Linked DNA regions of Coturnix japonica. The protein of the gene in region 1 interacts with the protein of each later gene in a biochemical or structural test. Links are inferred from orthologs where the notes say so. Each region holds a gene or a part of one and is shown on either strand. Other genes may lie near its edges.

Region 1 (5,777 bases):
GATCAATGGGGAGGGGGGGAGGTGACATGTAGAGCTCAAGGCTCCAGCTGTGGGGGGGGCTTTAATTCCCAATTCACCATCTGCTGAGCCCCCCCCCCAATTTGTGGCTCAGCTGTTGAAGGAGAGAATTAAAGCTCCCTTAGAACAATGTCCCCATCAGGGACGGATGTGACGCCACCATCGCTTTGTCCCCATGTCCCCCCACCCTAAAAGGGGGGAGGTGTTGTTCGGAGGCCCCCCACCCCAAAAGGAGGGGGGGGTTGTTCATAGACCCCCTGCAATACGCCGTGCTGCCGGCAGGGGGCGCTGCAGGACCGCGGATGGAGCCGGGGCTAAATGAGAAGGGGGCGTGGCCATTTACCATATAAGGAATGTATATAATGAGGGGGAGGAGATATGCAAAAATATGCAAAATTATGCAAAACAGCCCAATTCCTGGAGCGGCTATAGGGAGTCAGCGGTGAACCCCTATAGCCCCTATAGCTGTGGGCACCCATGGTTGGGGGGGTCTAGGGTTCACAGAGCTCTAAGAGCCCACCCCAATGGGCTCAGCCTCTTTTGGGGCCCTTTAGGGGTCCTATGATGTCCCAGCTGCCTTGTGATATGCTGATATGGGGGTCACGACCCTCTTATGCCTATATAGGGTGATACAATGCTCTATATAGGGTGATACAATGCTCATGGGATGGTGACCTGTGAGCCCCAGCTGGAGGCACCTGGAGATGAACCTGAGCTGGTGCAGAGGCTTTAATTGGCACCGAGGCTTTAATTGATATAGGAGCTTTAATTAGGACGGAGCAGAGGGGGTTTGGGGGAGGCCCAGGGGCTCACAGTGAAGGACTGATGGATCCATTCGCCTCCATTAGTGCTTAAGGGCTCCCTGGATGTTATTAATGTTGGGTTGGAGCTGGTGAGGGGCTGCTGGGGGGGTGTGGGGGGGTATATCCCCATTGGGAGCCTTTGGCAGCTATAGGGTTTGCTGTAGGGCTGTGCCCTCCCTACCTGCCCCTATTACCTCATCACTTGTAGGTTGCAGCACAACGTGGGCTGGGGCCGCACCCCAATATCTGGAGGTGTTTGTTTGCAGGTTGTTTTGCAGATCAGTTTGGAGTTTGTGCCATTGAAGCTGCTGGGATCCAGCATTACCTGGGCTCCATCCTGTGCTTTATGCTCCCAGGTAGGGGGTGATCAGTAAATGGGGCTGGTCTTGGTGTGGGAGGGCTGGGCTGGTTGTCTATTGACCCCCAGCTCTGCTGGAGGGAACAGTGAGCTGTGAACAAGGGCCTTAGAAGGGCTTTAATACCAGCTCCATATTGACTTATTGATGGATATAGGCTGGATATAGACCCTCCCTATGGCAGTAAGGCTTTAATATCAGCTCCTTATTGACTTATTGATAGATATAGACTGTGGGACTTATTGATATAGACTGGATATAGACTGTGGGACCTTCCCTATGGCAGCAGGGCTTTAATACCAGCTCCCTGTTAACTATATAGGCTATATTACCTATATAGACTGGATACAGGCTATGGACCCTCCCTATGGCAGCAGGGTTTAATATCATCTCCCTATTGACTTATTGATGGATATAGGCTGGATATAGACCCTCCCTATGGCAGCAGGGCTTTAATACCAGCCTCCTATTGACTTAATGATATAGGCTGGATATAGACTGGGATTGATATAGACTGGATATAGACTGGGGACCCTCCCTATGGCAGCAGGGCTTTAATACCAGCTCCATATTGACTTATTGATGGATATAGACTGGGATTGATATAGCCTGGATATAGATATAGACTGAGGACCCTCCCTATGGCAGTAGGGCTTTGATACCAGCTCCCTATTGACTATATAGACTATATTACCTATATAGACTGGATATAGACTATGGACCCTCCCTATGGCAGCAGGGCTTTAACACCAGCTCCCTATTGATGGCTATAGACTGGCGAGGCGCTAGGCCCGGCTCCGGCCTTCCGCCGGGATTGGTGCGCGCTGTCAGTCAACATTCCGGACGGTTTTTATTGGTAGTTGGAGCTGTCGTTCGGCTAGAGTCTCGCTCTCTATTGGATGATTAGCCTGTCTTTCATCGACTCGGTGGGTGGGGGCGTTGTGCTGTTTCTCCTCACCTATTGGCTCTCCATGCTCATCTCTGCCTCCGATTGGCTCCCTCGCCTGCCCATCCACCCGGCGACATAGGCGGGATCACCTCCACCCCTCCCCCTCCCATTGGCTCACTGCTTCATCCCTCCTCCTAAAGTCGGCTGGCGATTGGCTGAGCCTCGGGGGGGGGGCGGGATTAGTTGTGAGGGAAAGGAGGCGGCGGCGGCGGAGAGCGGGTAGAGGCGGGCGGGGCGGACAGGGCCGCGTCACTGGGCCTTAAGGATCCATAGGGCCTTAAAGGGCCATAAGGGGCCATAAAGGGCCTTAAAGGGCCTTAAAGGCCTTAAAGGGCCCCGGGGTGGGGTGGAGGGAGAGGCCTTAAGGCCCGGTGTGGCCTAAACCGGGGGGAGCCCCCACGGTGAGGCCTGAGGGCGGCGGGGAGTTGACGCAACGGCCTAAGAATAACGAGGGGTGGGACCGGGCCGGGCCCACAACGGGCGGGGCCTGAACATGGGGCCTTAAGGGAACAACACGGGGTGGTTTGAGCTGCGGTAAAAGGAACCGAGTCACAGCGGGACAAATTGGGATCGGAACCGGTTCGGTTGGACGAGGAACCGGGATCGGAACCGGGAGAGACCGAGAGGGACCGGAGCTGCATGTGGGAACAGCGGGCAGTAAGTGGGGGGGGCTTGTGTGTGTCTATGGGGGTATTGGATTGGGGTCATCCCATGTGTCTATGGGATATTGGATTGGGGTCAGAGCTGGGATCGTCCCATGTGTTATATGGGAATATTGTATTGGGGTCGGAGCTGGGATCGTCCCATGTGTCTATGGGGATATTGGGATCAGAGCTGGAATCATCCCATGTGTTATATGGGATTATTGTATTGGGATCTGGAGGGTTTGGAGCTGGAAAGGGAAGCTGAGATCATCCCGTGTGTCTATGGGGACATTGTATTGGGATCAGAGCTGGGATCGTCCCATGTGTTATATGGGATTATTGTATTGGGGTTGGAGCTGGGATCATCCCATGTGTCTATAGGGATATTGTATTGGGATCTGGAGGGTTCGGAGCTGGAAAGGGAAGCTGGGATTGTCCAATGTGTCTATGGGATTATTGTATTGGGATCATCCCATGTGTCTATGGGGATATTGGGATCAAAGCTGGGATCGTCCCATGTGTTATATGGGAATATTGTATTGGGATTGAAGCTGGGATCGTCCCATGTGTCTATAGGGGATTATTGTACTGGGGTCGGAGCTGGGATCATCCTGTGTGTCTATAGGGATATTGTATTGGGATCATCCCATGTGTTATATGGGATATTGTATTGGGATCATCCCATGTGTCTATAGGGATATTGTATTGGGATCTGGAGGGTTCAGAGCTGGAAAGGGAAGCTGGGATCGTCCCATGTATCTATGGGATTATTGTATTGGGATCAAAGCTGGGATTGTCCCATGTGTTATATGGGATATTGTATTGGGATCATCCCATGTGTTATATGGGATAATGTATTGGGATCTGGAGGGTTCGGAGCTGGAAAGGGAAGCTGGGATTGTCCCATGTATCTATGGGGATATTGGGATCAGAGCTGGAATCATCCCATGTGTTATATGGGATTATTGTATTGGGGTTGGAGCTGGGATCGTCCCATGTGTCTATGGGATTATTGTATTGGGATCAGAGCTGGGATCATCCTGTGTGTCTATGGGAATATTGTATTGGGGTCAGAGCTGGGATCATCCCATGTGTCTATAGGGATATTGGATTGGGATCTGGAGGGTTCAGAGCTGGAAAGGGAAGCTGGGATCATCCCATGTGTTATATGGGAATATTGTATTGGGATCAGAGCTGGAATCATCCTGTGTGTCTATGGGGATATTGTATTGGGATCATCCCATGTATCTATGGGATTATTGTATTGGGATCGGAGCTGGGATCGTCCTATGTGTCTATGGGATTATTGTATTGGGATCATCCCATGTGTCTATAGGGATATTGTATTGGGATCTGGAGGGTTCGGAGCTGGAAAGGGAAGCTGGGATCGTCCCATGTATCTATGGGATTATTGTATTGGGATCAGAGCTGGGATCGTCCCATAGTTTAAAGTGTTTTATTGCTGTGGACTCTTGAAACTGTTGCTGTTTTGCTTGTGTTAAAGTCGGGCAGGGGGGAGGAAGCAGCCAGGCGAGGTATTGGGAGCAGAATCCACCTGCTGCCTTTATATTCTCCTTTATTCCTCCTTTATTCCTTTATTCCTCCTTTATTCCTCACCTCCCACTTGTTTCCTCTCTCTTTCCCCCTCCAGAAATGCTTTCTCTGAAGAAATACTTCACCGAAGGCCTCATCCAACTCACCATCCTGCTCAGCCTCGTCGGTGTCCGTGTGGACGTGGACACTTACCTCAACTCCCAGCTCCCCCAGCTCCGTGAAATCATCCTCGGTCAAAGCTCTGCCTACACACAAACCCAATTTCACAACCTAAGAAACACTTTAGACGGGTACGGCATCCACCCAAAGAGCGTCGATTTGGACTATTACTTCACAACTCGAAGGCTGCTCAACCAGGTCAGGGCTCTGGACAGGTTTCAAGTACCTACAACTGAAGTCAACGCTTGGTTGGTTCATCGGGATCCTGAAGGTTCAGTATCAGGCTCCCAACCCAACGCTGGGATCACGCTCGATAACGGTGCTGGGCTGCAGGATGGAGCCGGGTCTGATGGTGCCGTGAGGGACAACGGGGCTGAGCAGGGATATGGGGAGGAGCTGGAGGATCTGGGAGCTGTGGCTGCCCCGGTGAATGGGGACCTGACTAAAGAGGTAAGTGGCTCCTTGTGTCTTGTGTTGGATTCTATGCTATCTATCAAATGGAGTGGTGTTTAATGTGAGCTGTGTGATATGGGCATGGCATGGGGTCGAAGCTTCTGAGCTCTTCATGGTGCTGCTCTGCTTTTATTGCTGCTCTGCTATGGACCCCATAGATCCAATACCCCATAGATCCAATACCCCATAGATCCAATACCTCATAGATCCAATACCCCATAGATCCAATATCCCATAGATCCAATACCCCCATAGATCCAATACCCCATAGATCCAATACCCCATAGATCCAATACCCCATAGATCCAATACCCCATAGACCCAATACCCCCATAGACCCAATACCCCCATAGACCCCAATACCCCCATAGACCCAATACCCCCATAGACCCAATACCCCCATAGACCCAATACCCCCATAGATCCAATACCCCCATAGATCCAATACCCCATTTATTTGCTGTTTTCAGCCTAGAAAGTGATACTGAAAGCTGGGCCATGGGCTGGGGGTGGGCGTTACACACTGTGCCCATAACTTTGTGTTGTGAAATAGATCAAATAACGCTGGGATATAAACACATGCGTTGGGTAACAGCTTCATCCCATGTAGCAGGAGGGAGGTTGGGTTACTGGGCTTTGGAGCTGATCCAGCTTGAGACGTTTCTAGCTTGGTTTTCATCACACAGGGGCAGGGAGGAGGTGAAATAGAATGGGGTTTATGTATCTGTCTGTGTGTGTGGAACCTTTTAGATGCTGTGATGCCATCCAGCTCCTTGCCCTGCTGGGAGCTCCTCATTTTGGCTCTGCTTTGTGTTCAGCCTCAATATCTCCCCAGCCATGT
Region 2 (5,689 bases), on another chromosome or scaffold:
GTCCCATTCTCGCCTGGCTCCCGCTTCACCTGTGAGAAGAGAAGGCAGTGTGTGCGGTCTGAAGCCTCGAGCAGCCGCCCACACCCCCATCCTCCACCTGCTGCTTTACCTTCAAGGCCTTGTTTCCTTTGTTGGGGGTCGTCATAACACGGCAGCCACGTCAGTCAGGCTCTGGAAGGGAAGGAGGTCAGGTTAGTCCCTGGGTTGGTTCTCAGCAGGGCCAGAGCAGCCGCACGGAGCCCCGCAGCAACACCCCGCACTGGGGCACTCCCACTGCCCTCCCCAGGCAGCACTCAGCCTGACTGCATCGGACTCACAGTACAGCAACAGATTCTATCCCTGAGCACAACCTGCTGCCCTCCCCCAGCCCTATGACCACGGAGCCTTGTAGCAATGCTGCTTTTTTGTTTGGGGTGTGGGGGGGAGAAAATTAAAAAACTAGGAGGAGCCAGAATACACGGAAGCCACATTATTAAAAATAGCCTGGCAGCAGCAGCCAGGTCCGGAGCACGCCTGCTCAGGGCCAGTCACGCTGACTCAGCACGGCAGCAGCCCGCGCCTCTGCTCCCAGCTGCATCCTCACAGCCCCTGAGCATTGCACAGCAGCACAGCCCCACGCTGTGCACCCGCTGCCCAGCACAGAGCTGCCCACAGCGAGTCCTGCCAGACCCACGATGCTCCTGAGGACACAGCCTGGCACAGTCCAGGAGCACAACACTGCTGGTGAGTGGAGGGGATGGCCTCACCATCACGGTGCAGCTGCTTGGTGCTGAACACCACTGCTCCTATCCAAAATGCTGGTGCTCCCCAGCAAAGCCAGCACGGCTGGGTTACAGTCTGAGTTCTGCACCTGACCCTTCCCGTGGGGAGGATGGGCAGCCCAAACCCATGGCTTGATGCTGGGGCACACGGGAAGCCCATAGTTGATCTGGGGATTCCTCAGCAGCCCTCCCTGCTCTTGTCACCCAAAGCCGACCTACAGCCGTACACCCTTCCCACTGAGCAGTCCCTATCAGCCCCAGCAAAGCCAGGGCTGCACCAGCTTCTCCCCTCTTTATCTTCAGAGCTGAGAGATAAGAAAACAAAGATCGAGGGAGGCCAAAACCAGAGGGGAGCAGACTCCTTCACTGCCAGGGAGGACAGCATTCCAGGTCTATAACAGCAGCTCCTGGGGCTGTCTTCATACAGAGACATACCTGGGCTCCTGCTCCTGTCCCTATGCACCTCCTCCCCTCACACCTCGGGTCAGAATTCCACTGCACCCCAACAAACTGAATCCTCAGCAGCCACGTCTGTCCCACACAGCCCGGCACTGCTTCCTGCAGCAAGGCCAGCACTGTCTGTGTGCAGGTGCAGTCCATGAGTACCTTTGTACCTTCCGTGCCAGCCAACAGCAATTCCGTTCGCTGCTCTTTTGTTTGCTAGACGTAAGAGGCAGAGCTGCAGCCAAGACCCAGCTGTACAGTCAGCAAATACGGCTTTCTGCTCCTCCAGCAGCTGCAGCTCAGGCTCCCGCAATGCGCCCGGCGCTGACTGCTAGAGGTGAGCGGGATCAGCGTCCTGCAGGACACGGAGCACACCAGCACAATTCAGATGTTCCCCCAAGGCCGGAGCCTGCCAGGAGGCAGCTATTTATACCCAGAGGACAATGTTCCTTGCAGCATGACGGCCGTGACAACCCGACAGCGTGGCCGTAAGGGTCACTTTGCCACCGAGGGAGGCGGCTGCATTGAGGGGAGCACATGCAGACTGCAGCCTCCTGCAACCAGTTCTGTGCTTTCCCGTGCTGTTATTTCTCTTTCTTTGCTCTGTTTCCTCCCCCCCCCCCCCACCCTAACAAACAAAATGGCTGCTGGAAAAAGGGGCAGATGGAAGAGAATAACTGGGGGGAGGCATAACACCGGCCCTGAGGAACCCTCTGACCGCACGCTGGGGTCAGTATGGCTGCAGTAATGTGTGCCTGCAGGGCTGAATGGTTCCCTGCTACCGGGAAACACTCAAACTTCCTTCATTGTAGCAGAGCTGGGAAAAACAAACACTGGATGGGGCTGGGCACAGGTAGAGCAGCTCAGGGTGCAGGGCAGGAAACTCACACAGCCCTGAGCTCAGAGCCTGTGCTCACCTTGCACCTCATACTGTCATTTCTGCTGAGAGAAATTGATAAACGCACAGATAGAGGCACTAAAGGACGGGTCAACCAGGGCTGCTGTGCTGAGAGAGAACAGAAATGAGAGGAGCTTGATGGGGGGACACGGCTGGGATGAGTGCAGGGACACAGAGCTGTGATGGGGGTCAGGGAGTGCTCCCCATCCTGAGCCACAGCATCGCTGCTGTGGGACACGAGGCTGCAGTGTCTGTATCCGAGGAACTGGACAGTGCATGTTGTGTGCTGGGGGCGGCTCTGGGACGGGGCTGTGCCTGAACGCAGCACCAGTTTGGACCCTCCATCCCCTTCCAGAGACACAGCAGAGCACGGACAGCACGGGGCTGTTATGTGTGAGGGGGGCAGCAGCTGAGCCGGGGGCACACACCGAACCAGCCTCATCCCGGCTGTGCAGCCCGTTCATTGCTCGGCTTTTTAGAGGCTCCCGCAGATCGCACTGCAAAGTGCCCAACGCTTTGACTGCAGCAACAAAATGCCGCCTCAACACATTGCCCGGCGCTCAAAAGCCCTGAGCTCAGCACGGCCGCAGCCAATTCCCCCCCGGCGCGGAGCCGTTTCCCCGTTCTCTCCCCGTTCTCTCCCGGTTCCCTCCCGTTCCCCATCGCGGCGCCTCGCCACGCGCGCACTGTAAACACGGTGACGTCGCCGTGGCGCGGAGCTCTCCTTCCCCTCCCCCCCCGGTGCGGGATCCCGTTCCCGTTTATCCGTGTTGTTATTTTGTTCCCCTGACCCCACGCGGCCCGTCCCGCCGCTCACACACCCCGCACTTTCCCCCGTTAAAGCGGCTCCGCCGCCGCCCGTCCCGCGGGATCCCGGTGACCCCACGGCGATGCCGGGAGGAGCGGAGCGGCCCGAGCCCCGCGGCGGGTGAACCGTCGGGAAGCGCCGCGCTGCGCCTCCGGCCTGGCCAGCTCCACCGGGCACCGGGACACCGTGTGACCGAGCGGGGGCTGAGCGCCGGGCGGACCCGGTGCGGGGCGGGGCGGGCGGAGCGGCGGGGCCCCGCGCACCTGTTGCTCGGCCGCGGCGGGGACCGGGCCGTGCGCGCCGCCAACCGGGCGGTGACCGGCGGCCACGGAGCCCCCGCCGTGAGTCAGCGCCGGCCGCTCCCGCCCCGCCCCCGGGGACCGGCCGCCGCGCCTCGCCGCCCCGCCTCGCCCCGCCCGGTGCCAGGGCCGCGCCCGCCGCCCGCGCCGCGCCTCCTCCCTTCGGTGCCGCCGCCGCCGCCCGCCCCTCACCGGCCGCGCTCGCTGCGGTCACGTCCTGACGGAGCCGTTGGACCGGGCGGGGCGGGGCGGGGCGGGCAGGCCGCGCTGCACGAACCGGGACCGGGACCGCGAGCCGCCGCCGCTCACGGACGCGTCACGTGATGTTTGGGTCACGTGGCTCCATTCATGAAGCGCCCGGCGCAACCGCCCCGCGCCTTAAAGGGGACGCGCCGGGAGGGCGGGAAACGGGGCGGGACCAGGAATGGAACGGGACCGGGACTTAAAGGGACCGCGGGGATGGGAACGGCCGCGGTGTGAGCCCAGCAGGGCGGCAGCACCGAGCAAAGCGCGATGGATAGCAATGGGCAGCAATGGATAGCAATGGGCAGTAATAGATAGCAATGGGCAGCAATGGATAGCAATGGGCAGTAATAGATAGCAATGGGCAGCAATGGATAGTAATGGGCAGCAATGGATAGTAATGGGCAGCATTGGATAGCAATGGATAGTAATGGGCAGCAATGGGAGCTCCGCTGCCGTCGGGCCTTTGTTACCGCCCCACTTCGGCCCCGTCAGTTCTCATTTGTACAGACACGGCTCTGGGGCGTCCGCAGCTCCAACCACTGCAGGACTGAGGGGACAATGGAGCTGGGCCGGGTGAGCGCTCAGTGCCGGGCTGTGGGACGGCGGGGACACGGAGCTGCGTCCACCCAACACAACCAGGAGCCGCCACGGGTCCGATAGAGGAATGGTTTATTCAAGGAGCAGAAAGAGCAGCAGCCACGTCACACCTACACGGCCTTGTCCCAGTACCAACTGACACAGCACCGCACTGACACTGCCAGCACCTGTGGAGTTCTCTGCATTGATCCCCAAATGCTTTTCTTGCACCACACACATAGACGCTCTGGGTTCCTAAGGAGGAACCTCAGTGTACATCAAGGTAGAACAGGACGACACTGAGATCCACCCAAATCCCTTCCATCCTCCCCAGCCCACAGCTCCCACTGCAGCCCAGCAGCAGCTACCGGGGCAGTGTGAACATTGGGTGCTGCTTCCTGGTCCAGGACAGGGCTCTGGAAGAAGAGGGAACTCTATGGGGATGGTGGCTATAAAGAAGCCATAGAAAGCTGCTGTTGTGGGGATGACTGCCAAGAATGCACCCTGAATGAATCAGTGTGGCTGAGGGGTTCACATTGACCCTCTATTTAAAGTCAAAGCGGATGGGAAATGAGGCAGAGGCACTTTGGTCCCTGGTGAGAAGCATATTAGAACCCAGCCTCAGCGCACAGCACTGCATTGGTGTGACAGCAGCTGCTCTAGCTAAGAAAAAACAAGAGATGAGCTCTGAAAGCAGATGGAAGATGGGGAAAGAGGGATCCAGACCTGACTCAAACCTTTGAGACTGAAAAGCAGTTGGAAAGTTCTTAAAGATTCTGCTACCAACTGTTTCTACACGGGACACAATAAATGCTACCTCAGTTCTGAAGCATCAAAGGCTTCTGGCAAATAGTGCCCTTGACAAAGCTCTGAGTATGGTGCTCCCCATGCCCACAGTGAGCAGCTCTGCGCTGCCCCACGGCTGCTGTAAGCTGAGAGTCGGGTATGGAAAACACCAACATTCAGCGTGAATGTTTTCCTTAGTCAAAAAAGAAAGGGCATAAAGGGAAGTGATGGTCAGTGCAGCCAGAGTACAGCAGGACGGCAGCCTGCTCAGTTCTTCTTGCTGCTGGGGTTCTTACTGTTGAACAGACTGACTTTGTTGGTAGATGCCACAGAAAGAGAAGGAGACTCCAGCTTCACCTTATCCAACAAAGTCTTCTTTATGGCTGCTGGGGAGATCTTCTCCTTGTCTGCCAAATGCTGCAGCTGCCTGCCATGGGGTGGTAGAAGAGAGAGATGGTAAGGAATAGAAAGAGAGGAGTGTTGATGGCTCTTAAGGATTTCTCAGTGCCCACCTTGTTCGGATACAGGAAGCCTCCACAGCATTGATGAGCAGGGAGCGAAAGCCTCCGCTCTCCAGGAAGTGCAGGGCATGAATGGTGGCTCCCCCAGGGGAGCAGACGTTGTCCTTCAGCTGACCTGGGTGCTGCTCTGATTCCAACAGCATTTTGGCAGCGCCCTGTGGCGAGGAATAGAAAACAACAATCAGAACTCTGTATGTTTGTTGAAATATATTCAGTAAGGGAACTGAAATCATTTTAAACTATAAGACTATAAAACTAGAAGGAGTCTCAAGAGCATTTTGGAGGAAGCAATACTAACCAGCAAAGCCTGGGCTCCGAGCCGAACAGCCAGCCTACGGGGAAGCCCCATT

Evidence for each region. The genes of interacting proteins can lie anywhere in the genome.
Region 2: the proteins of NFE2L1 (region 1) and MAFG form a complex in vitro, tested with the Homo sapiens proteins (2 studies listed by BioGRID and IntAct, with this or other methods). The link is inferred for Coturnix japonica from reciprocal best matches to the Homo sapiens genes NFE2L1 and MAFG.

What each region holds. Positions count from the first base shown.
Region 1 is NC_029542.1:3,428,795-3,434,571, reverse strand, and holds the start of NFE2L1 (endoplasmic reticulum membrane sensor NFE2L1), read left to right. Parts: upstream 1-2,362; 5' UTR 2,363-2,783; intron 2,784-4,421; 5' UTR 4,422-4,423; coding exon 4,424-4,933; intron 4,934-5,777.
Region 2 is NC_029533.1:4,418,867-4,424,555, reverse strand, and holds the start of MAFG (transcription factor MafG), read right to left. Parts: upstream 3,562-5,689; 5' UTR 3,403-3,561; intron 3,194-3,402; exon of another isoform or gene 3,175-3,193; intron 1,801-3,174; exon of another isoform or gene 1,368-1,800; intron 1,343-1,367; exon of another isoform or gene 1,197-1,342; intron 1,172-1,196; exon of another isoform or gene 318-1,171; intron 172-317; 5' UTR 146-171; coding exon 110-145; intron 30-109; coding exon 1-29. Other genes in the region: PYCR1 (pyrroline-5-carboxylate reductase 1, mitochondrial), read right to left, coding at 5,086-5,245, 5,331-5,494, 5,638-5,689. UniProt on the Homo sapiens protein: Since they lack a putative transactivation domain, the small Mafs behave as transcriptional repressors when they dimerize among themselves.